Linked DNA regions of Callithrix jacchus. The protein of the gene in region 5 interacts with the protein of the main gene of each other region in a biochemical or structural test. Links are inferred from orthologs where the notes say so. Each region holds a gene or a part of one and is shown on either strand. Other genes may lie near its edges. The genes, in order: CSN2, XIAP, MAPK12, LATS1 and HTRA2.

The links.
Region 1: of the proteins of HTRA2 (region 5) and CSN2, one has a biochemical effect on the other in vitro, tested with the Homo sapiens proteins (2 studies listed by BioGRID). The link is inferred for Callithrix jacchus from reciprocal best matches to the Homo sapiens genes HTRA2 and CSN2.
Region 2: the proteins of HTRA2 (region 5) and XIAP form a complex in vitro, tested with the Homo sapiens proteins (10 studies listed by BioGRID and IntAct, with this or other methods). The link is inferred for Callithrix jacchus from reciprocal best matches to the Homo sapiens genes HTRA2 and XIAP.
Region 3: of the proteins of HTRA2 (region 5) and MAPK12, one has a biochemical effect on the other in vitro, tested with the Homo sapiens proteins (2 studies listed by BioGRID and IntAct, with this or other methods). The link is inferred for Callithrix jacchus from reciprocal best matches to the Homo sapiens genes HTRA2 and MAPK12.
Region 4: the proteins of HTRA2 (region 5) and LATS1 form a complex in vitro, tested with the Homo sapiens proteins (2 studies listed by BioGRID, with this or other methods). The link is inferred for Callithrix jacchus from reciprocal best matches to the Homo sapiens genes HTRA2 and LATS1.

Annotation. Positions count from the first base shown.
Region 1 is NC_133504.1:128,103,401-128,109,807, reverse strand, and holds the start of CSN2 (beta-casein), read right to left. Parts: upstream 3,507-6,407; coding exon 3,456-3,506; intron 2,610-3,455; coding exon 2,583-2,609; intron 1,610-2,582; coding exon 1,589-1,609; intron 1,495-1,588; coding exon 1,453-1,494; intron 352-1,452; coding exon 1-351. UniProt on the Homo sapiens protein: Important role in determination of the surface properties of the casein micelles.
Region 2 is NC_133524.1:119,623,646-119,629,386, reverse strand, and holds part of XIAP (E3 ubiquitin-protein ligase XIAP), read right to left. Parts: intron 2,117-5,741; exon of another isoform or gene 2,112-2,116; 5' UTR 2,085-2,111; coding exon 1,208-2,084; intron 1-1,207.
Region 3 is NC_133502.1:218,836,879-218,843,364, reverse strand, and holds the start of MAPK12 (mitogen-activated protein kinase 12), read left to right. Parts: upstream 1-2,120; 5' UTR 2,121-2,308; coding exon 2,309-2,433; intron 2,434-2,520; coding exon 2,521-2,650; intron 2,651-5,302; coding exon 5,303-5,361; intron 5,362-6,392; coding exon 6,393-6,486. UniProt on the Homo sapiens protein: Serine/threonine kinase which acts as an essential component of the MAP kinase signal transduction pathway.
Region 4 is NC_133505.1:156,463,255-156,468,995, forward strand, and holds part of LATS1 (serine/threonine-protein kinase LATS1), read right to left. Parts: intron 4,629-5,741; coding exon 3,118-4,628; intron 783-3,117; coding exon 200-782; intron 1-199. UniProt on the Homo sapiens protein: Negative regulator of YAP1 in the Hippo signaling pathway that plays a pivotal role in organ size control and tumor suppression by restricting proliferation and promoting apoptosis.
Region 5 is NC_133515.1:38,662,951-38,669,117, forward strand, and holds HTRA2 (serine protease HTRA2, mitochondrial), read right to left. Parts: upstream 4,215-6,167; 5' UTR 4,208-4,214; coding exon 3,702-4,207; intron 3,598-3,701; coding exon 3,393-3,597; intron 3,304-3,392; coding exon 3,109-3,303; intron 2,874-3,108; coding exon 2,841-2,873; intron 2,634-2,840; coding exon 2,510-2,633; intron 2,355-2,509; coding exon 2,285-2,354; intron 2,227-2,284; exon of another isoform or gene 1,581-2,226; coding exon 1,485-1,580; exon of another isoform or gene 1,380-1,484; coding exon 1,214-1,379; 3' UTR 1,023-1,213; downstream 1-1,022. Other genes in the region: LOXL3 (lysyl oxidase homolog 3), read left to right, coding at 1-104, 211-322, 526-599; lipid droplet-regulating VLDL assembly factor AUP1, read left to right, coding at 4,408-4,630, 4,711-5,078, 5,272-5,456, 5,699-5,771, 5,866-5,939.

The DNA.
Region 1 (6,407 bases), on a different chromosome or scaffold from region 5:
AGGAGGGAGCGCAAGAGTTTGAGGAATAGGCTGAGGGACCTGGTGCATCAAGGGCTGGAACAGAGGCAGAGGAAGATGCAGGTTTTCAGGAGCAGTGAGTTTCAGGAGTTGAGGGTCAAAAACGGGCATCGTTGGAGATTTAAGGATGGGCATCATTCTGCCCTTAGTATAGACAGTGTCTTTAGCTTTAGAGACTTGCATTATTTCAGGATGAGGGACAGGCAGCACCACAGCAGGCTGAGCAAGAGGCAGAATGTTTTGTGGAAGGAAAGGGTAGGGGATAGGCTCAACGTATGGATAGATTAGAGGCTGTGGCTGCAAAGACGAATGGATTTTATCCTGGTGTTCCTCCTGGAAAGAAGGAAAAAGAATCGTTGAAGTCCTTGATTCAGCTATAATTGCCATTCATAATGAAGTGATTTCTCTCTTTTAGACAGTGATAAGTGAGTAAAAAGGGAGGAAGAAAATCTTTCACTTATTTTGATTAAGAAATTATCTTGAGTCATGTGAAGAAAAATGAGTAAAATGTTTGTTTAAAGATTTTAATCCACTCACTTTATGAGTAACTACACAGGCCAAAGTGATATCAGTGCTTGGATATTTCAGAAACATTTCGTTCACCTTTTCCTGAATTGCCTGGATAGCTGTAGCTGTACGCGTTGGTCTTCAGAGAGCATTTACTTTTTAACACAGTTGTACCAGTAATAGACCAAATTCTTTTCATATAGTGAAAAGAGATTGATTTAAAAAGACTTAAAAGGACAATTTCAAGGTTTATTTTTATTTTGGTTTGGTTTAATGAAAAAAAAAATCAGTCTTAATTTGTGGCTAATCTCAGGAAGTAGTTTAACAGGGACCAAATTCTTGCGTTTCTTCCCTTGGGAGAAGATAGTTTTCTTGAGTCTTTCAAGAGACATCGATATTTTTACTTAAATTTGATTTTAAAAATAATTTATGTGAGCACCAAACAATTCACTGACACACAAAGCAACTGAAAATTATAACTAGGTAAATACATCAAGATAAATGTAATTTAATGAAATCCAGGATTTTGTGTTTTCCTTAAGGGAATAAAGGCAATATGGCACTAATTCTACACAGATTTTTTACCAGCTGTATACACCCTTTCATTACCATACCCACCTTGAGAATAAGAGAATCATAGTTAGCAACCTGAAAATATTCCCACTAATGTGAACTTACTGAAAACAGATATACCATTAGTAATATCATTATGTATTTAGTCTATATTCTAGAAATTATGTTTCAAAATGCATGCATATCCTGGAAAACATATTGACTTTATCAATGTTTAATTTTTTACAGGGGTTGCTGGGCATATGGCATTTATTTTATTATCATTCTTTAGAATCAACATATCCATTATAAATAGTTTTTTACATATTATACTTTATAATAACTTTAGAAATATACTTATCAGGAATAAATTACCTCTCTTTGCTGCTGTTCCTCATGGTGAACCTCCTCAACTTTCTGTTAAAAATAAATCATATATAAAGATAAGTTACCATCTGTAAAAATTAAACAGGAAATTTTGAAAATATGTACATTTTAAATGAAAATTTACCTTGTATTGTGTCATGGATTCCTACAGAAAAATATAAAATAAAATCAGGTTTAGTTTTAGTAATTCTTACTTTGAAATATAAATCAGGAAATAAAGGCATAATTGTTTGATAAAAGTAATCATTTTGTGTAATCATTAAACCTTATGTGTTACACTGTTCTATGTAAGCTTGTTATATAAAAGAAAGTCAGATGAATGCAGTCAAGAAGGTCATTGTACAAAAAAAAATTGATACTAATTTCCCTCTACTACCATGCTCATTCCCTGACAAGAAATGATCTCTAAAACTCGATCTGATTTTTTAAAAAAGAAAATACTCATTGAAAATAGATTTCAATAACAATTGATACATTATGTTAATCACTTTTAGTTTCTTCAAATTAAGCATAAGAACTAAACACTTCCCTTAAGGATCATATAACCTTTCTGAAGAGACCATGTGTTGATGTATCATTTACTTATCAAGTGATCACACACCCAAGAGGAGTGGTGTAAGAACAAATAGCTACCTGACTCTCTCCAGTAGATTTAGGTCTACACTATGCTACTTCTTACAAAGTGACTATATTGTAATTATAAAATGTGTCCTTTTGCATTTCTGCCTACCTACTACTTTGCAAGCTCTTAATTATCACTGGCATCTCCATCATTTCAGTTTCTACCACAGTTCCTAATCAATGTCTAACCCATAGAAGGCCCTCAATAAATATTTAAGGTGAATGAGTTCAGAGTAAAGAGAGTTCAATACAAAAAACACTTGAAAAAAAAAAAAAGGAAGCAAAATGACACAATTTCAAGTATCAGGCCAATTCAGAAAGTTCTACATTGTTGTACTATCCAGATATTTATTGTCCTTAAACATATATAAAGGAAATATAGACCAGAACTTCTATGTCATTAACATAGCTGCATTAGCATAACTGCCATGATGTAATGTCATAGACAGATAGCACAGGATTTTACTGTTCTAAAATTGGGTAGAATGTTATCTTACCTCACTGCTTGAAAGGTTTTCTACAGTCTGTGGAAAAAAAAAATGACAACCAGCCAAGTCTTCTAGATAATTAGAGATTTTTACTATTATGGTTCATAAATCTTCTCTGAAAAAATATCTTACCTCTGAGTATGCACTGGGTACTTCCTTCTGAAAAGATTTTTAAAAGTTTAGTCTCCATAGCTAGCTCGTTGTTAAACATATATACTCCCTAATTTTTACATCATTTATGCAGAGCTATCTCTTTCAAAAATTTGATAAATTAAAAAATGTTATACAACTTTTGAGGCTTGAAAGGTAATTGCTTTAATGTTTTTTATGTTAGTCATTTCTATTAATATATTTTATCTTACATTTATTAAAGACAGTTTTTGATGGGTAACAGAAAAATAGTCACTTCAATTTGTATTACATACTTTTCATTATACTACTATAAATATATTTATGATCATGATTACGATTATGTCTGTACTTTATTCTATCAATGTCTTTGTATAGACGGACACAAGATTTGATCCAGTGCCTTAGGGTACAAGACATATATATTTTTATCACTGGAATAATATATTTATCTAGATTGAGCATGTGTGCAATTGTATTTATTACCATTTTATCATTTGTTGTACTACTTAGTGATTTGTTTGCTTTTTCTTTAGTGACTAGCAGCACATTGGTATAGGAAGCATTTGAAGCCCTATGGGAAACTGTTGACACACTGGGTAAATATAAATGATTTTGGTAGAAGCCAAGGTAATTCTCATGAAATTCTTCATTATTTATACAGTAAAAAAATGTTGGTAATGTTATTCTCTACCAATAGGCATATAGTGCACTATTTTTTGATTGTTTAGGAACTTTTTATTGTGCACATACCTCCCTTGCAAGAGCAAGAGCCACCAGGCAGGTGAGGATGATGATCTTCATGGCTACTAAGTCCTGTGAATGGAGAAAAAATGGATTGGTCAATTGGATGTATTTTCTTATTTAGGTAAGGTTACTTTTTCTTCAAAGAAGAGATAATGTATAACAAAAATGTCTGCATTTTAGAAAACAAATAGAATAAATAATAAATAGAAGTTATATGACTAAGGTCAAAATATATTATGGCTTGCTACTATCATTTATCAAATTCCAAACTTCATTACTAGCTACTCAGATTTGTCACCTAACAACTCCAACCTCACTTTTATAAAAAGTCCCATTTACAGTATTGAATTTTTAAAAAGGCATAAAGAAGTTATAAACACATATGGAAAGATATGTTCATTAATTTTAAAATATTTCTTAAGAATCTATTCTTGCCAGACACTGTCTAGGAAACTGGACTGCAAGAATGAACAAAACAAAGTCTCAGCCCTCATGGAGCCTCAGTTCTACTGGAAGAGACTGATCAAGAAAATGTGTACAAAAAAGTCACATTTTATTTTTATCTTTTTTTCACCAGATGGTTATCATGAATATTTAATCTAATTATTTCTCCTCATTTCCAATAAGACTGACATTTTCATTTTAACATTTTCCTTATTTGTGTCACTATCCAGAGATTTTGTTGGATTATGAAGTTTGATTCTGCTCCATTTATACCCACTGTGCAGTCTTCTTCCCCGCATAGCTAATAATGTCTGTTCTTTCTCTTTTATGCCACATGACTTTAGAGATTATACATTAGGCTGCTTCTTTTCTCTGTATTAAAATATACATGCAGGTTTCTTGATGCTCTACCAAGAGGTCAGAGTCTCTTTCACACTGCCAAGCTTGAGACTACCTCTTCTTGCAAAATATATGTTAACATTTTGGACCAAAATATACCAAACTGTCTCCTAATCATGTGTTCTTACATTTTTTTATAATTAATTTCAAAATAATGTTTGTGCCACAATATGACTTGACATTCACTCTTCATTCTCACCTTTTTGAAACTCAATTTTTAAGCTAAAAATATTTCATGAAAAATGTCTCTAACTTATTTGAAAAGTGTTCTTTTTAATATTGGAAGGTTGATCATAATTCTATCTATTATGGAAAATAAATATTTTTTCTAGATTTTTATGAAAGTTAAATAATTCTTTATTAATTTTATTTGCCTGAGATCTCCATAAATTTCCAAATTTTTTATCTCATGGTTCAGAAAAAGAATACAGCACTCTATTATATATCATTACACACTGAGAAGATCCCAGAGCATTTTCTATATTTTCTGAGTAGCATTTTATGTACTGATTTTGAAGCCAGAGCTTCATTATCAACTGGTATTCTCTAAGCTACTTTTTCTTCTATATTGTCTATTATCTTTGTTTATGGTTTCCAAGTCTTCTCTACCCCATTAAGAATTTTCTTACAAAGCAAACCACGTTGTTTCTTTTTAACTTAATTCTGTATTTCTGTCTCATTTTAATATTGTTTTGAAATATTATAAACTAGATAATAAACTGGGAATTTTGAGGCTCTAGACAAGTTTGATGAGTAAACTCTTCTAAGAACATTGTTAATAAACACAAAGTAGTAAATGTCCCCAAACCATCACCTCCATTTTTTGACTCAGTATGCTACCACTGTAAACTACATTTTGGACAAAGCTTTTCCAGTAATTGTCTACCCGTACTATAATTCAAGCATATTTCTTTTTATGATTGTGATATGCTAAATCAAATTGGAAAAATAATTCAAAAATTAAATATCCTCTTAATATTAACTATTAACTAGCCTCATACTAAATATATATATATATATATATGCATAAAATTAGTTATTACATTTTCTTAAACTCACGAAGGCTATATGTCATTGCAATTTTTTTTTACCAAATTTTTCTGGACACTTCTATCTTTTTTAGCCAAAGCGTAGAAAATAATTTTAGTACTACCTTAAATATTTATTTCAAACACTATATTTTAAGCAACTGTGTTCTTTCTATAGCTCAAGCTACTTTGAAATAAATGATTAGGAGAAGATACAAGAAATTAGTATCTACAATTATTACCTTTTCCCCAAGATTGAAGAGAAGTGAAGGCAGTGCCGGATGGATTATGGTCTATCAGCTTCTGTGGCTGTTTATATACTATATTAAATGACATGCTAATTTTGTGGTTTGAAATGAGAGCAATAGTGAGCTTTAATTCCAAGAAGTCCATATGATTAGAAAATGATTTCTGCCTATAATATGTCCCCAGAAATTCTGGGGATCATTGTAACAAGGGAGCATTTCACAAGTTGATAAAGAAACCTGTCCAGCAAATGCAATTGTTCAATAACAAAAGACAATGACTGGAGGACAGTGACACTCTGGCTCTCTCCCCAAGTTGTTACAAACATAATTAGGTCTCTTTAGGGCCTAGTGGGGCCTTGATATTTCAGCTGTGGGAAAATCATTTATGATTTTAGAGATACTGAGTGCTTCACAAAGGCCACAGTTTCATGTGACCCTGAGCAGTTGTTGGTGCTTTGTGCTGAAATGAAGAAACTGACAAGATAACAAGTCCATGATGGTAGCTTAGTTATGTGAGGCAAACTGTTTTTCTCCCAGGGCCACTTAATTTGGAAAAAAATAAATTATTTAGTTCAAGCAAGTGTTTTATACACAAGAGAAACAAACTTTCCTCTGTGATGGAGCGACTCAAAGAAGGAATCTGGATGGCTGGTATAGGCAAAAATCTATTTTTGGGGGAACTTGCCATTAAGAAGCTGCTCTTTTAGTTGAGCCTTAGAGAATCAGTAGAAATGATTAAATGGGGAGAGCTATTTTGGCTGAAGGAAATGCAGGCACCTGAAATAACAATATGCCAAGTTTGAGGATAGTCAGAGGGCATACAGTACAAGTTACAATTG
Region 2 (5,741 bases), on a different chromosome or scaffold from region 5:
ACTGTCCCTATTAAAAAACACAAAAATTATACAGGTGCAGTGGTATGTGCCTGTAATTCCAGCTACTCAGGAGGCTGAGGCACAATAATAGCTTGAACCCAGGAGGCAGAGGTTGCAGTAAGCCAAGATCATGCCACTGCACTTCAGTTTAGGTAATGGAGTGAGACTCTGTCTCAAAAAAAAAAAAAAGTGCCAGGTGCAGTGGCTCACGCCTATAATCCCAGCATTTTGGTAGGCTGAGGCCAGCGCATCACCTGAGGTGGGGAGTTTGAGACCAGCCTGACCAACAAGGAGAAATCCTGTCTCTACTAAAAATACAAAATTAGCCGGGCGTGTTGGTGCATGCCTATAATCCCAGCTACTCGGGAGGCTGAGGCAAGAGAATTGCTTGAACCTGGGAGGCAGAGGTTGCAGTAAGCTGAAACTGTGCTATTACACTCCAGTCTGGACAAGAGTGAAACTCCACCTCAAAAAAAAAGTTATTAAAGTTATTGTGGGCCAGGTGGTCCAGTCTGGGCAACAAGACTAACAATCCGTCTCAAAAAAAAAAATTATTAAAGTTATTATGGGCTAGGTGTGGTAGCTCATGCATGTAATCCAAGCACCATGGAAGGCCGAGATGGGCAGATCATGAGGTCAGGAGATTGAGACCATCCTGGTCTTGGTGAAATCCCAAAGAAGAGAAGGGAGGGGAGGAGAGAAGAGGGGAGGGGAGGGGAGGGAAGGAGAGGAGAGGGGAGGGGAGAGGAGGGGAGGAGAGGGGAGGGGAGGGGAGGAAAGAAAGGAAGGGAGGGAGGGAAAAGGAAAGGAAAAAAAGAAAAAGAAAAGAAAAAAAAATTGTGAAGCTTAGAGAAAATGCATGAAGTATACATACTGTGCACATATAATAGGTGCTCAATAAATCAAAGTATTTTATTGGACCCATTTTGTTATTGGAGATGTCTACCATCTTTTGCATGTTATTACTTCCTAAAAACAATTACATGAAGAGAAATGTGACTCATAATATGGTAGTCTTTTTCACATAAGTTCAGTAGTTACGTTACAGGTTCAACATAAGAGTTCACAGAATAAGATGAATATAGGTATAATCATGCCAAATTATACCTAAATATTTACCAGTTCAGGGGGCTAAAGGCATCTATTTACTTTTTAGGAGCCCTGGCATAGTTGGGAAGTCATTTATTGGTTTTATAATGAAGTTTACCTAAAGCATAAAATCCAGCTCTTGCAAGCTGCTCCTTGTTAACTGAGTATATCCACGTCCCAAAAGTAATGATCCGTGCTTCATAATCTGCCATGGATGGATTTCTTGGAAGATTTGTTGAATTTGGGTAATTCCTATCAGAACTCACAGGATCAGATTCACTTCGGATGTTAAGATTGCGGCCCAAAACAAAGAAGCAATTAGGAAAGTGTCGCCTGTGTTCTGACCAGGCACGATCACAAGGTTCCCAATTTTTCAGTTTTCCTCCACAACAAAAGCACTGCACTTGGTCATCAATACCTGTGTAGTAGAGTCCAGCACTCGCTAACTCTCTTGGGGTTAGGTGGGCATAGTCTGGCCAGTTCTGAAAGGACTTCAGTCTAGCTTCTTCACTATACATGGCAGGGTTCCTCGGGTATATGGTGTCTGATATATCTACAACCTGCCCAGTTCTCAAAAGATAGTCTGCATGTGTCTCAGATGGCCTGTCTAAAGCAAAATGATTTCTGCTTCCCAGATAGTTTTCAACTTTGTACTGACCATTCTGGATACCAGGATTTGTAGGTTGCGTGGCACTATTTTCAAAATAAAAGCCGTTGATAAATCTGCAATTTGGGGATACTTTCCTGTGTCTTCCAATTGCTGAGTCTCCATATTGCCATCTATCTACGGCTGCATGACAACTAAAGCACCGCACGGTATCTCCTTCACCAGTATAAAGAAACCCTGCTCTTGCCAGTGTTGATGCTGAAACAAGACTACTACTTGGAAAATTAGCAAAAGTGTTTAATCTATTAAACTCTTCTACAAATTCTTCATCCTTATTGATGTCTGCAGGTACACAAGTTTTAGATCCTTCAAAACTGTTAAAAGTCATCTTCTCTTGAAAATAGGACTTGTCCACCTTTTCTAAAAAGAGAACATTATATTAGGAAATCCAAAATGTGAAACATAAGCAATAGACTTTTGTTACTAGGAGCTAACAAATTATCCACTTAGGACATAAAAATAATGACACGACCTCTAAGAAATATTCTAATTCTAAATACTAGAGTTCAACATTACCACATAATTCAAGTCATAAAGTAAAATCTAGCATTTTCGTTTTCTCTTTTTGAGGAAAGTAATATTTAAGCAGGTAGAATAAAACTAATAATTTTTAAATGCTTATTTTACATAAATATGGAACTGTGAAGCAGAATATATTATAATTATTAACCATGTCAAATAATTAATTAGGAAAAACATAAAAGAAGCATAAAATATGGAGATTATTAAAGTCTGTGCATAATTGTTATAATGAATCATTGTATATTCAAGGCATCAAAATTCAGTTTTTACAAATTAAAAAATGTTCAGAATGTTAATGAATTAATTTTTAATATTTCTTTGCTTAGCAAAATATGTTTTTATTTATTTATTTATTTTATTTATTAAGATCCTCATTGTATGCTACCTGGATGACTCATACAAGTATCCATGGTGAGGGTCTCTTCTGATTAAAGAAGATGGAATTGAAGCAAAATATGTTTTAATCATAATGCTGGTTCCAATGTGTTCTTTAAGAGTATCAAATATTTCTGATTTTCATGCATGAACAAGAGCTCATTTTTTGTTGGAACTGGATAATTCCAGATATATATATAATACCGCCCTCTACAGGGTGGCTCAGGAAAAATTCTAAGTACTTAGAAACCTTAATTGCTATTACTGGGTTTTTTTGTTTTTTTTTTTTCCCCCATGATCCAGCCCTTGGGAGGTCCTGGGAACATGTGCCCTGCAGTTACTTTTACTATTAACTTCCCTTGGTCAAGGAACAATCTGTTCAAATGGAAGATAAGTATCATTGCAGTCTTATTAGAGCTGCCAATTTACAGCTGTGTAATGTTTAACCCAGATAAAATGCTAAAGGGAACCCATTAGGTTATGAGAAGGGTGGCAAGATAATTTACGTTCCAAACCTGGACACTTCTCAAAGCGAAAAATTACACTAGTAATAATCACACTGGGACAACAGGCATAAATCAGGGTTGCCCCAGGCAAACTAGAGCATATGGCATCCCTAGCTATGAGGCAAACCTGGTTCTTCAGAATCTCCCGAATTGCCTGATAACATACTCAATATAAACTTGTCAAACACAAAATCAGAGAATGGACACAATAACTTTGTCTCTATATTGTATGTGCATAATTGATTTCTTGGCAAGAATTAGCCAGCTCTTTTGCCTTTATGTTGACACAATATGTCTCAGAATTTAATCTCTCTTGGAGAAATGTTCAACACAAAGCAAGCTGGCAGTGGACATCAGTCTTTCCTGGCCATGTGAATTTATCATGGTATTAACTCATATACCTCAAGAGCTGAGTTATATCTGCATACAACTTTTGGAATATGGTCTCCACGACTTTCTTTTTTGAAACAGAGTCTCGCTTTGTTACCCATGCTGGAGTGCAGTGGTGAGATCTTGGCTCACTGCAACATCCACCTCCCAGGTTCAAGCGATTCTCCTGCCTCAGTCTCCCGAGTAGCTGGGATCACAGGTACCCACCACCACACCTGGCTAATTTTTTGTATTTTTAGTAGACACATGGTTTCATCATGTTGGCCGGGCTGTGAGTCAGTAAAATTACTTGAACCCAAGAGGTGGAGGCTGTAGTGAGCCGAGATTGTGCCACTGCACCCCAGCCTGGGTGACAGAGCAAGCATCTCAAAAACGGGGGAAAAAAAAATTGATGGGGCCTGGTGGTACATGCCTGTAATCCCAGCTACTCAGGAGGCTGAGGCAGGAGAATCGCTTGGACCTGGGATGCAGAGGTTGCAGTGAGCAGAGATCACACCATTACACTCCAGCCTGGGCAACAAGAGCAAAAGTCTGTCTCAAAAAAAAAAAAAAATCTGTGGCCAGGCATAGTGGCTCACACCTGTAATCCAAGCACTTTGGAGGCCAAGGCGGGCGGATCACCTGAGATCGGGAGTTCAAGACCAGCCTGACCAACATGGTGAAACCCTGTCTTTTTTTAAAAAAAAAAAAAATCTGTAACATAGCTAAAAGAAGATGGAGACGTGGTTTAAAAAGAAGTCACATAAAGGCAATCCTCCAGATTAAAACCTTGGGATTTTAATTACTTACAAAGTCATCATGAGCCAACACTACAAGTATACAAAAAACAGCAACTTCAAGCTGCAGTAGTGTCCAGATGTGCAACATCCAGATCCAATTCAGCTACCAAGGGATACTATTTCCAGTTCCAAATAGATTTTGGAAGGGATATTAACCAAGTTTAATGTCCTTAGGGAGCTATCAGGATGATGAAAATGTTATCATATGAGAAATAGTTGGAATGGCAAAGGATATTTATCCCAAAGGTTGTTAAAATTGTGAGGGGAAGGGTAGAGAGGACAGAATTACTACCTTAAGATATCTAAAAGGTTATCACGTAGAAAAGAGATTCAAATTTTGTATAGCTTGAGGGCAGAATTAAGATCAATAAATACAATTATAAACAGTAGATTATAACCCAAAGATCAGCTTTATAACAATTGATAGTAGCACAAAATGAATTGGGTTGCCTTGTAAATTATGAGTTCCTCTTATCACTGGAAGGAACTTCGGCATGGACTAGGAGACTGGATTAAACATTTTCAAGTCTATAATTATCCTGAAGAATTAACGTTCAGTATAATTCAAAACACATGAGAATTATCTTCTCTGAGGTGTTAAATTTTATTTCAAGTCAATCAAAATAGATATAAGTTGCCAGGCACAGTGGCTCACACCTGTAATCCCAACACTTTGGGAGGCTGAGGTTCGTGGATCACTTGGAGTAAAGACTTCAAGACCAGCCTGGCCAACATGGTGAAACCCCACTTCTACCAAAAAATACAAAAATTAGCCAGGCGTGGTGGCACACAGGAGGCTACTTGGAAGGCTGAGGGAGGAGAATCACCTGAACCTGGGAAGCGGAGGTTGCAGTGAGCTGAGATGGCGCCACTGCACTCCAGCCTGGGTGACAGAATGAGACTTGATCTCAAAAAAAAAAAAAGAAAGAAAAAGGTATAGGCCAGGCACGGTGGCTCACGCCTATATCCCAGCACTTTGGGAGGCCGAAGCGGTCAGATCATGAGGTCAAGAGATCGAGACCATCCTGGCCAACATGGTGAAAGCCCGTCTCTACTAAAAATACAAAAAATTAGCTGGGCATGGTGGCACATGTGCTGTAATCCCAGTACTCAGGAGGCTGAGGCAGGAGAACTGCCTGAACCCAGGAGGCGGAGGTTGTAGTGAGCCGAGATCGTGCCATTGCATTCCAGTCTGGGTAACAAGAGCGAAACTCTGTCTCAAAAGAAAAAAGAAAAAGAAAAAAAGAGTGAAAGGTGGAAGGATGACTGATGAAAGACAGAAACCTTGGGTTTGAAGGAAGGCACCAAACAAAAAGGGCAAGATAGGGTAAAAATATATATATAGGATCTAAGTGAAATGGAGGTTGGGAAAATGACACCACAGAAAACAAGTATATATGGGGCAGAGGAATT
Region 3 (6,486 bases), on a different chromosome or scaffold from region 5:
CCAGGATGGAGCTGATCCAATAACCCTGGAAGATGGGACCCTGCTCAGAGCTGAGTTGGGAGTGTGGCTTTGCCCTGGAAAGGCGGTGACCTCTTGCCTTGAGGGGCCCAGGAAAGCCTGGGTGTCAAGTGCCTGCACCAGGGGTGCACAATAAAGGGGGTTCTCTCTTGCTCGGCTCATATCCAAAGGCCACTACAGGCCCTGCTGCTGGGGGTGGGGGAAGTGTCTGGGTCACCCTTCATCACTTGTCTCCAGCTGGCCAGATCCCTCAGTCTCTCAGTCAGACAAGCAGCCATCTTCTGGCACCCTCCCTGCTCCCCGGAGGGTCTGAGAGCCCAGGGGGACCAAGAGAAGACATGGCTGATGGGTGGGCTCTGTGCATAGGGTGTGACAGCCACCCAGATGGTGACCCCAGCTGCCCTATGGGGATGTACTGGGCAGGCTTGGCTTCTGGCCAAGATCCAGACCCCACCCCCCACAGTGGTCAGGGAGGCTGGCTGGGGAGTAGTTGGGTGTCTCAGGGAGTAAGGGTCTGCCCATCCCTGGTGGGGTGGGGCTGGGCAGGGTAAGGAAAATAGCTTTCCTTTCCTTTCTGTTGAAGATTAAAGAGCCCACTTTAATCTGAGGGATGTATGCGATAGTCCCATTCCCACTATACACGGTAGTTTACTGTGGGGGAGGGTCCAGGCCATGCTGGGTCAGGCAGCATCTCTGGGGGCCAGGGACAGCCTGTGCCCCTTGCCTGGGTCTTGGATGGGGGGTGGAAATCATCTGGGAGTTGGGGGCCTCCTGGGGCCTAGTCAGTGTAGTGTTCAGTCCTGGGGAAGTCCAGTGTTGGGGTGTGGGGGAGCAGAATGGGGACACAGCCCCACCTCAGATGCCTGGTCTGTGTGGGGCCTGCTGGACCCCTGAGCCCCACCATGAGGAGTGAGGGGGACAGCAGTGGAAGCAGGGCTTCCTGGAAGACGTGGATGGAGTGCCACAGGCAGCCCAGGGCACAAAGGTTGCAGGCCACAGCCAGTTGTGGTTTGGGTAGCCCCGGGCTACCCCGGCTCACTGGTCACCAGCTGGTGAATGCCGCAGACAGCCGGAAGCCCAGGTGTAAAGCTACTCCCACCCTTGAGCGGCTGAGCTGCTGATTCATGGCAGGAGGGCGGGCGGGGGGCCCTAGGGAACTTGTTACCCACCAACCCAGTGGGTTCCAGGGGTGCACCCCCCATCCTTCCTGAGACCCAGATCACTGGGCTGGGGAAGGGGTGTCAGGGTGGGGCTTTTCACTCTGAAGCATCTGGTCCAGGATGGAGCCAGACCGATGGGAGGATGATGCCCACACGGAGGGGACAGGCTGAGGGCCCAGCAGGTCCTCGTCCCTGTAGGAGAGAGTGCAGCCATGAGCTTTGCAGGACGGAACAGGCAGGGGTGGGACAGGCAGATGCACTGACACTTGCAATGCGTGGAACAAGCACCCCACAGAGGAGAGAAGGGGAGGAGCTGGGGGTGCAGGAGGGCCCACGGGGACCTATGGGACTGGGAGGCCCAGGGTCAGTGGCCACAGCAGTGGGGTTGGGCATGCAGCTTGAGGAGTCTGGGAGACAGGGACGCAGGCAGGACAGGTGCAGGTGGACCCCACGTGCGGGGACAATGGTCAGGCACAGCGGCAGGGTATCCTTGGGGGTGAACCTGGGAACACAGGGCTCAGCCCAGGGAACTCAGGGCAGGGGGACAGTGACTTGCAGCTGCAGACCCAAGTCGGTTCTCAGGCTGTCACGGATGGGCCTGGAACTGTGGGGAGTAAGGACTGGAGCCCGGCGGGGATCCTGCTGAGAACGCCCCTCCTCACCCCCCAAGGCAGGGAAGTTCAGCCAAAGGGCAGAGGCTGGCATGGGTATCTCCGCGCCGCGTCCAGCCCTAGGTCCGGACAAAGCTGCGGGGCGGCGCTCCCCTCCCCCTGCGCTTCCCCCCAGGCTCCGGCCCTCCCCCGGCGGCGGCCGCCTCGGGTTTCCGGAGGGGCCGGAGGGCGGGCGAGGGCGTCACGTGCGCGCGGCCCGCGGGCCGGTTGGTCCCCGGGCGGGGGAGGGGCCGTGCGCTGCCTGGGTCGGGGCTGGGGTCGGGCAGGGGTTGGCACCTGGGACATCCCTGCGGGAAGAGCCGGGAGCAGGAGCGCCCCAGCGGCGGGCGGGCGGGCGGGCGGACAAGCCGCGCGGAGCGGGCCCGGGGCGCGCGCCGAGGGAGCCCCGCCGATCCCGGGTTACCGGTCCTGGGGGAACCGCCCGCGGGCTCTGCGGAGTGGGCGGCTCCCGGGCCTGCCATGAGCTCTCCGCCGCCCGCCCGCAGTGGCTTTTACCGCCAGGAGGTGACCAAGACGGCCTGGGAGGTGCGCGTCGTGTACCGGGACCTGCAGCCCGTGGGCTCGGGCGCCTATGGCGCGGTGTGGTGAGCGCGGGCCGGGTGGGGCGGCCGGCGGGGCGGGCGGGGCCTGCGCGGGGTGCCCGGCCTTCCCGCTAAGCGTGTGCCCCGCAGCTCCGCGGTGGACAGCCGCACCAGCGCCAAGGTGGCCATCAAGAAGCTGTACCGGCCCTTCCAGTCCGAGCTGTTCGCCAAGCGCGCCTACCGGGAGCTGCGCCTGCTCAAGCACATGCGCCACGAGAACGTGAGTCGCGCGGCCCCGCTCCGGGAAGGCGCCGCACCACGGCTCGGCTCGGCTTCCCCACCCAGCGACGCCCCCTCAGCAGGCGGCTGCGGGGCGGGGCGGGGACCGGGCCGTGGATCCCCAGGGGAGGAGGAGAGCAGGGCTCAGCCCCCGTCTTCTCTGCCAGCCCCGGGAAGGACTCACCCCCTCAACTCCGCGCCTCAGCCAGGCCCTGGTCAGGGGACACGAGTTGGCCAGGCTCAGGGATTCTCCAGCTCTCATGCCAAACCCTGCCCCCAGCCAGGAAGCCCGTGGTGAGAGGACGCTCCCAGTGGGCCGATTTTCCTGGAAGGGGCACCTCCCCTCTTTCCCATCCGGACCCCTCTCCAGCTCCTCTGTGGAGCCCACTCTGTTGCGGTCCATTTCCCGAGTCTTCTGACCCAGCGGGGGGCGAGGGGGGCGCGTCCAGAACGTAGGGAGTGTTGGACCCTCAGGAGCCCCTGGGGGTGCAGGGTGTAGGGAGCTGGGGTTTGGGGGCCACTGGGTGCGGTGGCCATCACACAGACACCCTCCCGTTCCTTGGGTGGTGGTGGGGGCCCATCCTTTCCAGCCCTGCCCATGAGATGCACAGCTGCCCTGGGCCTCTCTCATGGCTGTGGCTGGCTGTTGAAAGCCCTACCTTTCTGCCAGGGGCGCTCCCGTTTCTGGACACAGTTCCACTTGTTCACTGCCCCCCACGTCACTCCTGCCCTGCCATTTGAGCTCCTGGACCCTAGCTTCAGGGTCACACGCTCTGGACCCTCCTGGGTCATCCAAGCCACCAGCGCCCTGGGAGAACGAGTCCCTGCGTCCACCAGCAGACTGCCCCCACCACTCCCTCAGCCCTTGAGTGGGTGCTTTTCTCTGAGGCTTCCCATGCCCACCCTGACCCCAGCTCACCCCCCTGGCCCTGTGAAGCCCCTTTGTGGTGGACAGCAGTACCGCCGCCATCTCACCACCTCCCAAGTCACACCCAGGCCTTGTCCCAGGAGTGTACCCGCCCCCACCCTTGGTTTTATCCAGCTCCTCCCCTGCAGCCCCCTGGCCCCACCCACCCACTCACCTGTCTGTTCCTTGCCCCTGTCCAGCCAAGAGCCCCGGGCTTTTCTTTTTTCTCTGGAGACTTGTTGCCCAGGCTTGAGTGCAATGGTGAAATCTTGGCTCATCGAAACATCTGCCTCCCTGGTTCAAGCAACTCTCCTGCCTCAGCCTCCCAAGTAGCTGGGACTACAGGCACGCGCCACCACACCCAGCGGGGGATTTTGTATTTTTAGTAGAGCTGGGGTTTCACCATGTTAGGCTGGTCTGGAACTTCCAACCTCAGGTGATCCGCCCACCTTGGCCTCCCAGAGTGCTGGGATGACAGATGTGAGCCACCACGCCCAGCCACCAGGGCTTTTCTGTAGTCACTGCTCGCTGTGCCTGTGGGTCCACCCCCTGGGCTCCTGGCCTGCAGCTTCGGCTCTTCCCCTGGAACGCCATCATCCTGGGAGACTAAGGGTTTGCAAGGCCATGTGCCTTGCTCAGCTGGGGAGGAGGCTCTGGCACAGGCCCCAGTCCTGACGTTTCCAGGCGGGCCCCCATACCACAGAGGCCAAATCCATCCATCTGATGGCCCCAAGCCCACAGGACCCTGTTCTCCGTCGTGGGCTAAACCACTCTCCCAGGCACCCTCCAGCTCTCATGACTGCAGTCCCGGCTGCTCCCAGGCCTCCCTAGACCTCGCCCCACCCACCGTTCCTTCTCTTTCCACACTCTTGCCCTCAGCTCTGGCCCACGTGGCTACAGTGGAGCTGTCCTTCCAGCTTGTGCCCATTCTTGCCTCACTCCGGCTGGTCCCTATACCACAGCCAGGACACATTTAGCATCACACCCCTGTTTAAATCCTTCCCTGTCTCTTGGGATCAAAGCCAAACCTTCACCTGGTGTGTGCTTCCTGCCGGCTCCCTCTGGCCTCTCCTCAGCCCCTCCCTGGCCTGGGCCTCGGCCACCTGGCCTCCCTCCCTTTGTTCCTCAAACTCTCCCAGTGTTTTCCCTCCTGCCTCGGCTACTCTGTGTGTGCCCTCTGCCAGTTTCCCTCTGTCCACACGTCCACCTGCTCCTCTGTCCTTGGCTATGCAAAACTCCAGGCCTCTCTGGGACCCTGGAGGCCCTGTCACCCCAAAATGCTGAGGTGGCAGTTATCTTATGACCTGTCCACTGTCCGTCTCCCCAACCAGGGGCGTTGTGGGGACCAGGTCTGACTGGTCACGGTGCTGCCTGCCTGGGCCTCTCTCCCTATAGCGCTGTCCTCACCCTGGGCCTGGGTCTGCTTGGTTGGGGAGAAGATGGGAGAAAGGGTCAAGGGGCAGGAGCCCTTTGGATGGCAAGCCAGCCTAGGCTTGGGGTTGCCCCTCCCCCAGAAGATCCCGGCTGTCACCATCCAAAAATAACCTGTCTGTGGGTATGTGTGCCAGGGCTGGGCCACACTGCCAGTGGCCAGTGGGCAGAGCCAGGCCCTTTGGACAGTGGGGCATGACAACAACAGCTGCAGAGGGGGTTTTCTGCCCAGAGGGCTGTGCCACTCTTGGGGGGGTGCCCCAGCCCATGTCCTCTACGGCACCCTCAACCCTACCTGCCCTCCCCCCGCACCAGGTGATTGGGCTGCTGGACGTATTCACTCCTGATGAGACCCTGGATGACTTCACGGACTTGTGAGTGCTGACCTGGGCTGGCTGCCAGGCACAAGGGGTGTTGGGCAGCTCTGGGTACTGGCTTCAGGTTCTAGGTTGGCATGGGGCTCTCTTCCTGCAGGCTGAGTGGGGGATGCACATTGCCCAGCCCCTCCCCCACATGCTCCTGGGACCCACGGGCACTGGCACTGCCCAGCAGAGCTGGGGCTGCCGCCTCCCTCCAAGTCTGGCACCTGGGCCCTCTCCAGCACTGGAGGTGTGAACCTTGGACCTGAGCATTTGTTAACAGGAAGGTCCCGTGCCTGGGACCTTCCTGGCACCAAGTGTGTGGCCTGTAATGGGAGCTGCTGACCTTTTCCGACGGGTACAGGAGAAGCAGTAGGGAGGACCTGCCCTGCCCGTGCCCTGTAGCCGACCACCCTGAAACTCACACCTTGTCGGCCAAGAGTGAAGGTCCAGGCTGAGGAAGAGCTGGAGAAGGCAGCAGGCTCCTCTCGCCTGACTTGCAGAGGTCAAGGACCCACGCTGGCCTCAGTGGCCACTGAGAGGGGCTATACCATGCTTCTGTGTCTGTCCACCAGCCCAGCTGACCCCACTGACCCAGATGCCTTGTGAGCCCCTAACACCTCCAGGCACCTCCCTCGTCTCTGGCACAAAGTTCTGAAGTTGAAACCTGACTGCTTCCCTCCCCTGCCTGTGAAGACTTGAGCCCTGCTGCCTCCACCACGCAGCCTCAGCCCCTAGACTGGCACGCAGGGCACTCAGTGGAGGGTTCAAAAACCCCAAAGTGCATCCTCCACTCTGCCTGACAGTCCTCGGGGTGGGAGGGAGGTGTGAGCATTGCTGGCAGTGATGGGGTTGGGTCTGGATGGAGCCTGGCACTACAAGGTGCAGCTTCGAGGATGCCGAGGCCAGTGGGGATAGGTGCTGCAGGGGGATCTTCCCAGAGGCACTTGCTGGAGCGGGATGGGTCTGAGCCTGGGCCTGCTGGGTGGGCCTCCAGGATGCAGAGGCTGGCCCTGCCTACTGATGGCACCCGGCCCCTTCCACAGTTATCTGGTGATGCCATTCATGGGCACTGACCTGGGGAAGCTCATGAAGCACGAGAAGCTGGGAGAGGACCGGATCCAGTTCCTCGTGTACCAG
Region 4 (5,741 bases), on a different chromosome or scaffold from region 5:
ATGTTAATAATATTTAGTAACAGTCAAATCGAGTACATTCTTTTATTTTATAAGTCTAAGCACCTAAAGGATTCACCCAAGTTTATCCAACAGAATCAAGACCTGACCCGTCTTCTGGCTCTCATCCAATATCATCATCCTATATTTTACTATATCAATAAATTACATTATGAACAATCTACATTTTGAGTTTACTTACCACTCTGATAGTACTTAGAATCGTGTGTCCATCTGAAGCCAGTGCAGAGGCCAAAGTCAGTCAATTTAATATGACCATCACGATCAATCAAAATATTATCGGGTTTAATATCTCTATGAATAAAACCCATTTTATGAACACTTTCAACTGCACAGGTAAGTTCTGCTATGTAGAATCGTGCCAGGTTTTCTGGAAAGATGCCCATTCTAATTAATAGGCTCATCATATCACCCCCAGGAATGTAGTCCATTACAAAATATAAATTGTCTTTATCTTGGAATGAATAATATAGGCGAACCACCCATTCATTGTCAGCTTCAGCCAGGATATCTCTCTCAGCTTTAACATGAGCGACTTGATTTCGAAGCAGAACATCTTTCTTTCGAAGAGTTTTTGTTGCATACAAAGCCTTAGTATCTACTTTTCTTGCTAGACAGACTTCACCAAATGCTCCTACTCCTAGTGTCTTTATCTTCACAAACATAGACTTGTCCATTTTAGCCCTTTTAAGACGAATGTAATTAGATTCTTTTTGGCAAAGCATCTTTCTCATTTGATCCTGGGCATCCTGAGATAATCCAACCTAGGCAAATAAACTAGATGTTAAATAAGAATTATCTTCTTCAATATTAAATATTATGAAATAGCTTTGAAAAAATTCAGGCATATATTAAAGGTTAAATGCATCATAATTTTTAATAAAGCATGTTAGAAATCTAGAAAACATTTCAAAGGAAATTAATGATCAAAAGTGCAGCTTAAAAGGTAGTTAAAAGGATATTCAAAGTGAGTACATATGCAAATTCAGCTGTGGAGGGCAAGAAGAGGATACCAGAAGAATCAGCTTTCTACTCTTCACTAATGCACTCCGGAAAAAAAAAAAAAAAAAAAAAAAGGTTCTCAATGTGAAACAAGTATCTGTTAACATGCATCTTCATTTATCTCTGTTATATACTTATTTTAGTGTAATGCCTAGGCCTCAAATATCCTTCCTCCCATTTTATCTTTCATGAAAAAAAAAATTCTCCCACTCCAGGCTAATTTATTCTAAAAAATTAATGTACCAAGAACAACAAAACAATGCCTTTTCTAACCCACCAATCCTTGCCCATTCTCAATAAATATATAATAGTCATGAATAATCTTTCCTTTTCTCTTTTTCAGGGCATTAGAGTAAAGGTGTGACTCATGGCTCACCACTAACACAAATTGCAAAGGGTTTCTCCTACTTGTTTGTTTACAAGATATCCTTTGGGTATTTAGGAATATTTCAAAGAATAGTCAGTGTGACTCATGAAGATATCAAAAAATAGATTAAAAACAAAAACTAACTTCTAAGTATTATAGATATGGAATACCTGGATTTAGAAGGGAGAAATATTTAGGCTAATTAATAAAGAACTAATTAAAGGGTTTAAATAGAAAAGGAATTCAATTAGAAAAGTGAGGTCTAATTCTAGAAATGCAAGACTAAAATAGAGCAACCACATGCTTCTGTTAGGATTCACATTTTTGCAGGCAAAATCTTTTAAGAAGGGTGACGTGCCAGACTTAGTTCAGAACTGTTTCTCTCAAAATCTTACTTGCCTACACAGTAATGGAGACTACAGAAGTCAGCAAAGCTTCCAACACCATAAAAGTTTAAATCAGCTATTAGTGAAAGTGAAGAGGAAAAAGGAAAAATAAACTAAGAAAATACATACAAACAGACTTTAGTAAGAAATGCTAAGAACTAAAATATAGATAAGTCATAGAGATTATTATGGAATTTATCATTTAATAAAATGTAAAATGGAATAAAAATACTGTAAATCAGATTTGGAAAAATCATTTTATTTTTTGTTTTTAAATTATTTTGAGATGGAGTTTTGCTGTTGTTGCCCAGGCTGGAGTGCAATGGTGCAATCTGGGCTCACTGCAACCTCCGCCCCCCAGGTTCAAGTAATTCTCCTGCCTCAGCCTCCCAAGTAGCTGTGATTACAGGCATGTGCCACCATGCATGGCTAATTTTGTATTTTTAGTAGAGATGAGGGTTTCACTATGTTGGTCAGGCTGGTCTTGAATTCCTGACCTCAGGTGACCCGCCTACCTCAGCCTCCCAAAGTGCTGGGATTACAGGCCTGAGCCACCTTGCCTGGTGGGAAAATAATTTTAAAAAGAATGGTTCTCTCAAGTCATAAAGATGTTTAATCACAAGGTTAAGCCTCTTGAATTGTGAGTAACAGATGTAAGATTAGGAGTCAAATCTTTGAAATCTAAGCATCTGATAAAAACAATAATGATGACAATACCATCTTAATATCTAGTGAAGAGATCTAGGTGTAATGACAACATAATTTACATAGGTTTATTTACTCTGATCTCCCTTTAGTATAGTTTGACTTAATTTCAACACATTTTTCTCCAGTATATTATAAAAATGAAATCAGAAGGGAGAAATAACTGAAGAGAACTTCTTTGACACTTTCTAGTAAGATCTATGTGATCAATAAACCTATAAACTTCAAATTTTCTACAAGTAAAAAGAAATGTTTCATAAGTGTATCAGGAGATGAGACCTACATATTATTAGTTTATCTTTAAATGTTGTAAGATAAAGTATAAAACCTAGAAAACAACCCTTGCTTCAATTTCCATATAAAGTATTATGTACACCTAAACTGTATATCGCAAATTATATTTTTCTTAATTTATACAAGATTTTATTATGGGAAATTCTGAGTAAATCTTGAAATACTAAAATAAAATGGTTACAATCAAATGTACTTTAATATTTATTTACTTTTTAAATTCTGTAACTGATAATATATTGTATTAAGCTATAAAAAGAATGAAAAATACTGGAGCACAATATTTTAAAATAAACACCAAGTAAACAGATGATTAAGTATAAAAATGGACATTTTAAAAGGTTTTACCCGCATCATTTCATTCTCTAATTGTTTTTTACGATGTAGACGCTGCTGATGAGATTTCAGTACATTTTCCACATGTTGCTCCATAAAGAATTTAAATGCTTGAGGAGAGTAACTTTGAATACGAGATTCCCTTCGCTCTTCATCTTTCTTGTTTTTCCTAACAGTGATGGGTGAAGTTGTAATTTGTTTCTTTTCTTTATCCCCACTATCAACATTTTCATAACTCTTTTCACTCTCATCCTCCTTGGGCAAGCTTGGCTGATCCTCTTTGCTAGGCTTACTGATTGATTCATATGGAGGAACAGATGGGTTTTGGTGCAGCAGATGTTTTGGGTAGGGTGGTGGTGGTCCTTGATAATTTGGAGCTTCAGCAACAGGTGGCATCACAGTCACATTTGACGTGGTTCCCTCAGAAAAAGGACTGGGTTGAACAGTTTGAATTGGCTGTGGTATCCAAGAAGGGTGTGTAGGTGCTAAAGCAGTCTGTAGCTCTGGTTTTAATACACGCATGCTTTTCACAGGCTGTTGAATAGGAGCTGGTGTAATTGCAGTGACTGTTGTAGCAGAAGGCTGAGAATTAGCAGAGTGACTTGCTCTATTTCCCAATGGGTTGTTAAAAGAATTTGACCTCACTGGTATGTTAGGTTGCCAGGTAGGGATTTCATGCCCACTGCTTGGGGACGACTGGGCTGGAGCAGAGGATGACTGAGGCCAATTTGTTTGCAGTCCCGGCACATTAATGTTATACAGTTCCATGTTATGACTATTTCTGTTTGGCACCATCATAGACTGAGGAATATTTCCATTTATATATGATGAAGGAGCAGCAGATCCCCCTGTCTGTAAAGCAGAAGGGCTTTGTCCATTAGCTGCGGTCAGAGGATATGGAGGTGGCGGCTGCCGATTCACAGTGCCAGCAGGGACATTTTGGTGTATCATGAAATCAGTCTGTCCAGTACCATTCTGCATTCCAGGTCTCCCTGATGGAAAGTTAAATTTGCTAGAACTCTGCATGATGATTGGTTGTCTGCCAACAGGAACAGAACTAATGCCTCTCTGTCCCTGATTAGGAGGATTCATGGGGGAAGTGTTGAGAGGTGGTGGTGGATAGCCCTCTTGCCATGTCCCAGGTGGGACAGGAGAGATTCGGGAGATTACGTATTCCATGTTCCCAGAATAGCGCTTTGTTTGAGAGTTTGGTTCCCATGAAGGAGGAGGTGGAGTTGTACCTCTTGGAGGGGGAGTCTGGCCTCTTGGAGGTGGTGGAGGAGTGACACTCCTTACTTGAGGTGGTGGTAGGGGGTTCACTCTCTGTCCATTGCTAGGGTGAGCTTGAGCAAATGCTGTTATACCAGATCCAGACAAAGGTCTTCCTACATCTGCCTGTGAGCTGGGACTCTCAGAATGATAGGCCACACTTTCTCCTAGTGGTGGGCCATGTCTCTGAGGAACTAAGGATTCTTTAGAACCTTTCCAGCTCTGTTTGCGGTTAACTGATTGTTGCACATTCCCTATGGTCATAAGAGAGATAAAGAGAAAAAAGAATCATGTTTTTAACCTCTTATTGTTATTTAGCTCAATTTAGGAAAAAAATAGTTATAAAAATAAAATTTCAGTAAGTGTTTTCCTTTTATCTTTTAAAATTTTATTTATTTTTGACTGGGCACGGTATCTCACTCCTGGTCAAAGTTTCAGCACTTTGGGAGGCTGAGGTGGGTGGATTTCTTGAGCCCACCAGTTTGAGATCAGCCTGGGCAACATTCTACTAAAAACAAAAAAATGAGCCAGATATGGTGGCACGTGCCTCTAGTCCCAGCTACTAGGAAGGCTGAGGTTGGAAGATGGCTTGAACCTGGGAGGCAGAGGTTGCAGTGAACCAAGATCATGCCACTACACTCAAGCCTGGGAGATAGAATGAGACCCTGTCTCAAAAAAATAAAAGTATTCTTGATTGATGGCTCAAAATTCACAAAGTATAATATCATATCCACTTCTGTCCTTTAGCTGACCAATGCTCTTTAATAAGGTACTTCAGGGATATACAGATACAAGTTAGTACTAAATATCCTATATGTACTACTACAATGCCTAGCTTTTTTCTTTTCTTTTTTCTATTTACCACTATACTAACAAGGACTTTTCTCATTAAATAAAATGAAGATTCCATATCAGTATATAAAGTTATTTCCTCACTTTAAAAAAATTTTACCATGGCTGGGCACTGAGGAGGCCAAGGCAGTTGGATCACGAGCACAGGAGATCAAGACCATCCTGGCCAACATGTTAAAACCATCTCTACTAAAAATACAAAAATTAGCTGGGTGTGGTGGTGTGTGCCTGTAATCCCAGCCACTTGGGAGGCTGAGGCAGGAGAATCGCTTGAACCCAGGAGGCCAAAGCTGCAATGGGCTGAGACTGTGCCTCTGCACTCAAGCCTGGGTGGACAGAGCAAGACTCTGTCTCAAAAAAAAAAAAAAAAAATTTTTTTTTGAACAGATATAGGTTTCATATATATGCATGCATATTTTTAGATAAATTATTAGAGGTGGCATTATTAAGCCAAAGGGTATATCTATTTGTAATTTTCATAGCTACTACTGCTTTTAAATATATTTTAATATATA
Region 5 (6,167 bases):
GAGAGCAAGGCATCACCGTGGGTTGCTGGGATCTCTACCGGCATGACATTGACTGTCAATGGATTGACATCACAGATGTGAAGCCAGGAAACTACATTCTCCAGGTACCTGGAGTCTGGGGCTTCCAGATGGATTAGTGGGAGAAGTGTTAAAGTCACTTTTGGATTTGAGGATTGTCACTGGGTTAAGTGACCTTTCTCTCGCTTACAGGTAGTCATCAACCCAAATTTTGAAGTAGCAGAGAGTGACTTCACCAACAATGCAATGAAATGTAACTGCAAATATGATGGACATCGTATCTGGGTGCACAACTGCCACATCGGTATTTGATGGGAAGAGCAACCCAGGAAGATTAGGGGATGGGAGGGAGAAACGTTCATTCTCTTTTTATGTAACTTGTTTCTGTATCTTTCCACCCTCCTCTGGAGCTCTCAGTCCCTCTACTTCTACCTACCCTTCCCCACAGTGGGTCTCTCTGCCTCCCTCTGTGCAGGGCACCTCCCAAATTGCCTGTCCAATCTGCAGGTGATGCCTTCAGTGAAGAGGCCAACAGGAGGTTTGAGCGCTACCCTGGCCAGACCAGCAACCAGATTATCTAAGTGCTACCACCCTCTGCAAACCACCACTGGCCCTTAATGGCAGGGGTCTGAGGCTGCCATTACCTCAGGAGCTTACCAAGGAACCCATGTCAGCAACCGCACTCATTGGACCATGCACTATGGATGTGGAACTGTCAAGCAGAAGTTATCACCCTCCTTCAGAGGCCAGCTGTCAGTATCTGTGGCCAAGCATGGGGAATCTTTGCTCCCAGGCCCAGCGCCGAGCAGAGCACACCACACCAGAAAGAGCACCACCTGACTAACTGCCCACAACAAAAGATGGCAACAGCTCATTGTCTTGAATAGGAAGGTCAGGTTGGTCAGCTCCAGTATCTCCCCTAAGTTTAGGAGGATACAGCTTTACCTCTAGCCTTTTGGTGGGGGAAAAGATCCAGCCCTCCCACCTCATTTTTGACTATAATATGTTGCTAGGTATAATTTTATTTTATATAAAAAGTGTTTCTGTGATTCTTCAGAGCCCAGGAATCAGTGCTGGTGGTTAGAGGGACCTGCCCCCACTGGTTCATTTAACCCTCTGTCCCGGCACCCTCAGAGCCTCAGCCAGGAAGGCAGGAAGAAATCAGAGTAGGAGCCTCATACTCTTGCTGATCTGTTCATTCTGTGATCTCAGGGGTCACATATAAGGTCAGTGTTTCTCGTCCCCGCCGGATCCGCAATGCCATCTTGGGTTGGGTTCTAACAGCTTCATAAATATCTTCAGCACTACGTGCCACCTTGTCCCCAATAGCCAAAATCACATCACCAGGCCGCAGGCCAGCCCTACAGAGAAAAACAGACAGAGAGAAAGGAAGGAATAGAAAGCCCAGTTCAAGGACACATGCACACCTCGCCCATCCCCATCTCACACTGAAGCCTCTCCCTCACCGGTGTGCAGGGGAGCCCAGGATGACTTTATGGATGAGTACACCATACCGAACATCGGGAAACCTTGGATCTCGAAGCTGTAGTTCAGCAAGGATGCTGAAAGTACACAGATCACCCTATTAGCCAAACCTAGGCATTCTCCCCATCCTGAGTTCACCTCAACTCTCTCATCGACACATTGACAAAGGTATGCACTAGGTACCTAGTGACAGGACATGCACTAGGTACTACAAAATACAATGGCCACTCACTTTCTGTCTTCTAGCAGTTAAGAGCAACATGTACATAAAAGATGTACACCACATGAGGGCACCAAATGACAAACAGTGTTAATAGCACTAATGTCACTCTAAATGCTAAGAGAAGCTTTAAGGAGAAAGAAACTGAGCCTAAAAGGATGGATGTGATATTAACCATATAAAACAAGAACAGCATAAATAAAACAGCATGGGAGAAGGAAATCAAGTTGGCTGAGTATACATATAAGAAGGTATAACAGCCAGGTCTAGAAAGTTGATTTACAGACAGATGGAAAATGGCCCTTAAATGCCAAGTTAATGGATTGAAGGCTTGAAATCAAAGCAGTAACAGGATGAAATCAATCTGGTGACAGGTGTGCAAAGTGGAGTGGGATAAGAAAGTCAAGATGATGAAGGGGGACAGCTCTTGTGATTGTTCCAAGTGTGATGCAGCTCATTTTAGATAACGAGAGAAATGAGAATAAAGCTCAACAGAGGTACCAGAGGCCCACCTCTGATTACACTGGTTACATTACATGTCACTATCCCTAAAGCTCATACCTGGGAGTCAGGGTCAGCATCATCACCCCAATATAGCAGTGTCGGGACCCATTGATTCCACACGAGGAATCTGTGACAGAGGGACAAATGAGTCCCACCCAGCGACATCCTTCCCCTACCCTCCTCTCCCAGTAGACCACCCTCCAGCAAGTCCCAATGAATGCCCCTCACCTATTTCCCACCCACCATTTTAAAGGAACCCATTTCCCCATAAGCCAGGCTCACTTTCCTGTTCCCCACGACGCAGAAATTCTCGAAGGCGATCAGAAGGGATAGCAAAGGAGATTCCAGCTGTGACCTTCATGGTGTTCACTCCAATCACTTCTCCATCCTGCAGGGACACAGCCCCCTGTTCCCTAGCCCAAACAGATAGTAGGGGATGGGGGCACCTGAACAAAAGTAGCATCAAGTGTTGGGGAAATCTGGTTGGATGTTGAGAGATAGCCAATAAAGAACTGCTCAGAAACTTGACCAAACATCTTTGAATTAGGGAAAAACCACCCTTCCCACACTGACCTGGGGCAGGGATTCTTGGAAGGAAGGATGTCCCACTCACCAGGTTAACCAGGGGACCTCCAGAGTTTCCAAACTGCAGAACAAGGACAAAACATGAAAGAGATCTGGGGATTCTAAGTCTGGGGGCATACCAGGATGTAGGTGCTTTCTCCAAATTCTCTTCTTTCTCAGCCCATGAATGAGTGGCCACATTTTTGCAGCCTAAGGTCTGTATACAGTGTCATCCAACATGTATCAGTTGGTGCTTGTACCACAAAGCCTCTTCCCCCTCCCCCATCATTTGTCATTTCTTTCCTGTCAGGACGCACATCAATAGCTGCATCAGTCTGAATGTATTCCACATTGGTTTGGGGGAGTCCCAGGTCTCTGGCTGGACGCTGAGCAGAGCTAACAATGCCGGATGTGATCGTGTTCTGCAGTGCAAACGGACTTCCCATGGCAACAACAAACTCCCCTTGCCGGACCTCAGATGAGCATCCAAGAGGCAACGTGGGGAGAGGATCCTAAGGGAGAATGGGTATAAGAGACCTGTCATCTGGAGATGCAAGCAAATAAGCGGCTCCAACCAGAACTGGCCTACCCCAGCCCCTACCTTAGTCTGAATCCTCAGAGTTGCGATGTCTGCCACAGGATCCACAGCTGTGACGATGGCCTCATACGTGTCGCCGCTAAGCAGTCTCACACGGACTTTGCGCCGATCAGCCACCACATGGGCGTTGGTGACAATGAGCCCATCGGCAGCCACCACGAATCCTGAGCCGTTTGAGATAGGGATTTCGCGGCCCGAGAAAGGGTGCCTGGAATGGAGGGAAAGCACGGGTAAGAGGAGGCTCTGACCCCTCCTACCCGCCCGCCCTCCGGCCCGTGGCTTCACAGCCTCCGGGTCTACCCCTACCATTACCGGTCCAGGATCTCGATATAGACAACGGCAGGTGCTGTCTTCTCCACCACATCTGCAATGAAGTTGTACTGACTCCGGGGAGAGGTGGGAGGCGGGCCAGAGACTTCGGCGAGGACGGCCGGAGGACCCCGACCCCCGCCCCACAACAACAACAGCACTGCCCCGCCGGCGCCCAGCGCCACCGCCAGCCACGCGCGCGAACGGCTTCCAGAGTTCCCAGAGGCCTCCTGGGTCCTGATATCTGGGGTCCCCTCAGTCAGTTGTTCCCGGGGACCCGGGGTCCCAGACGTCAGACGTACTCGGGGTTCAGGGACCCCAACAGACAACCGGGCCCGGAGACTGGGGGTCCCATAAGTCACTCGGGCCCGGGGGTCAGAAGTTCCTGACGTCAGCAGAGCCCGGAGGTCAGGGGTCAACAGGGGTCTCTTCCCCCAGCGAAAACCCCCCAAAGCCCGCCATGCCCGGAGGATCCAGCCTGCACCCCGCCCCGCCCTCAGCGCAGCCATCAGCTCCGCCTCGGCTGCCTCCTCGCCCGCCCTACTCAGAGGCGGCACCCAGGACGCGAGCAAGCGGACAGTAGGACGCAGGGCACGCTGGTACTTGAAGTCCTCCAGAAGTGCACGCCGGAACCAGGATTCCGGGAGGCCGCCTCTCCGCATCCCGCGAATGCCGGGAATTGTGGTTTCCGCGAGACCCGAGTTGTGAGATGGGCCAAGGAGCCGCGGGGCATGCTGGGAGTGCTAGCCCTTCCGGGGCGCCTCAGGACTTCAGGTCCACTCACCTCGGGCGGATACCCAAAGACTCCGCCTTCCCAGGAGCCCTTGCGGCCGGGCGCGAAGATGGCGGCAACGACGGCCGGGCGCTCCTGAAGCTGCAGGAATGGAGCTTCCCTCAGCCCCGGGGCCGGAGAGGCTCTTTGACTCTCACCGGTAAGAGCCCCGGCGAGAAGAGGCCGATCCTCGCGTCCTCTTGGCCTTCGGTGCCCGACCACTTCGCCTCTCGCCCCCAGGCTCCCGGGTGACGGCTTTCTGTTGCTCGCGCTGCTGCTCTACGCGCCGGTTGGCTTCTGCCTCCTCGTCCTGCGCCTCTTTCTCGGGATCCACGTCTTCCTGGTCAGCTGCGCGCTACCAGACAGCGTCCTTCGCAGGTTCTGACGCAGGCGTTTGGGTAGTGTCAGGGCTGGGCCTGGCCCGAAGACACACAATCACCACCTCCTGTGTCCCCAGGTTCGTAGTGCGGACCATGTGTGCGCTGCTGGGGCTCGTGGCCCGGCAGGAGGACTCTGGACTCCGGGATCACAGCGTCAGGGTTCTCATTTCCAACCACGTGACACCTTTCGACCACAACATAGTCAATCTACTCACCACCTGTAGCACCGTGAGTGAGAGCGAGGCCGAGAGCGCCACGGGGCGGTTCCCTGGGGCCCAGCTGAAGGCCCCCAGGCCCCATTCGCGTTCCCCATGGAGGATATTGACCCTTACCCCTAACCCTGATCCTCCACCCCACATGTCAGTTTTTCTCATTTTCCTCAATTTTTTTTCATCTTGCTTTCTCTTCTCCTGGTTCCCAGCCTCTACTCAATAGTCCCCCCAGCTTTGTGTGCTGGTCTCGGGGCTTCATGGAGATGGATGGGCGGGGGGAGTTGGTGGAGTCACTCAAGAGATTCTGTGCTTCCACGAGGCTTCCCCCCACCCCTCTGCTGCTATTCCCTGAGGAAGAGGCCACCAATGGCCGGGAGGGGCTCCTGCGTTTCAGGTGGGTTTAGCACAGGTATCGGGTGGTCAAGCTTGTGGGCCCTTGAGTTTTTACAACCTTCTTCAGCCCTTAGCCCCCAACATCTCTAGTTCATTTCCTTTCTGTCTACTTTTCTTTCTCCTGAATCCCTTCATTCTTCAATTATCTACTTGTAGAGTTTGATAGTTGCCTGTTTTAAGGCAGGTATGAGCTACTGACTAGGCTGGCTGGATTCCCATCCTACTTTCTCTTTCCTCTTCTAGTTCCTGGCCATTTTCTATCCAGGACGTAGTACAACCTCTTACCCTGCAAGTTCAGAGACCCCTGGTCTCTGTGGTGAGTGTGTGTTGAACAGGGAATCTTGGGGCTCGGAGGGGAAGTTTCCCATCCCAGGCCCTGGCTTAGGCCTCACTTCATGCCCTCCCCTCAGACGGTGTCAGATGCCTCCTGGGTCTCAGAACTCCTGTGGTCACTTTTCGTCCCTTTCACGGTGTATCAAGTAAGGTATTAACTGCCCTCACATTTTGGTCACTGGGGAGAGGTTCATCTCAAGGTCAAGGAAGTAGTGGCCTCTGCCCTGTCCATTTGTAGATCTTTTAATATCAAGGTTCTACCATAGAGGCAACAAAAAGTATATACTATTTTCCCACCCTCACCATGCAAAGAGGTACCAAAGTGGGGAGCAGTGACAGCCTTTACCCTGGGTGCCCGCAACATAGCCCTGGATTGTTT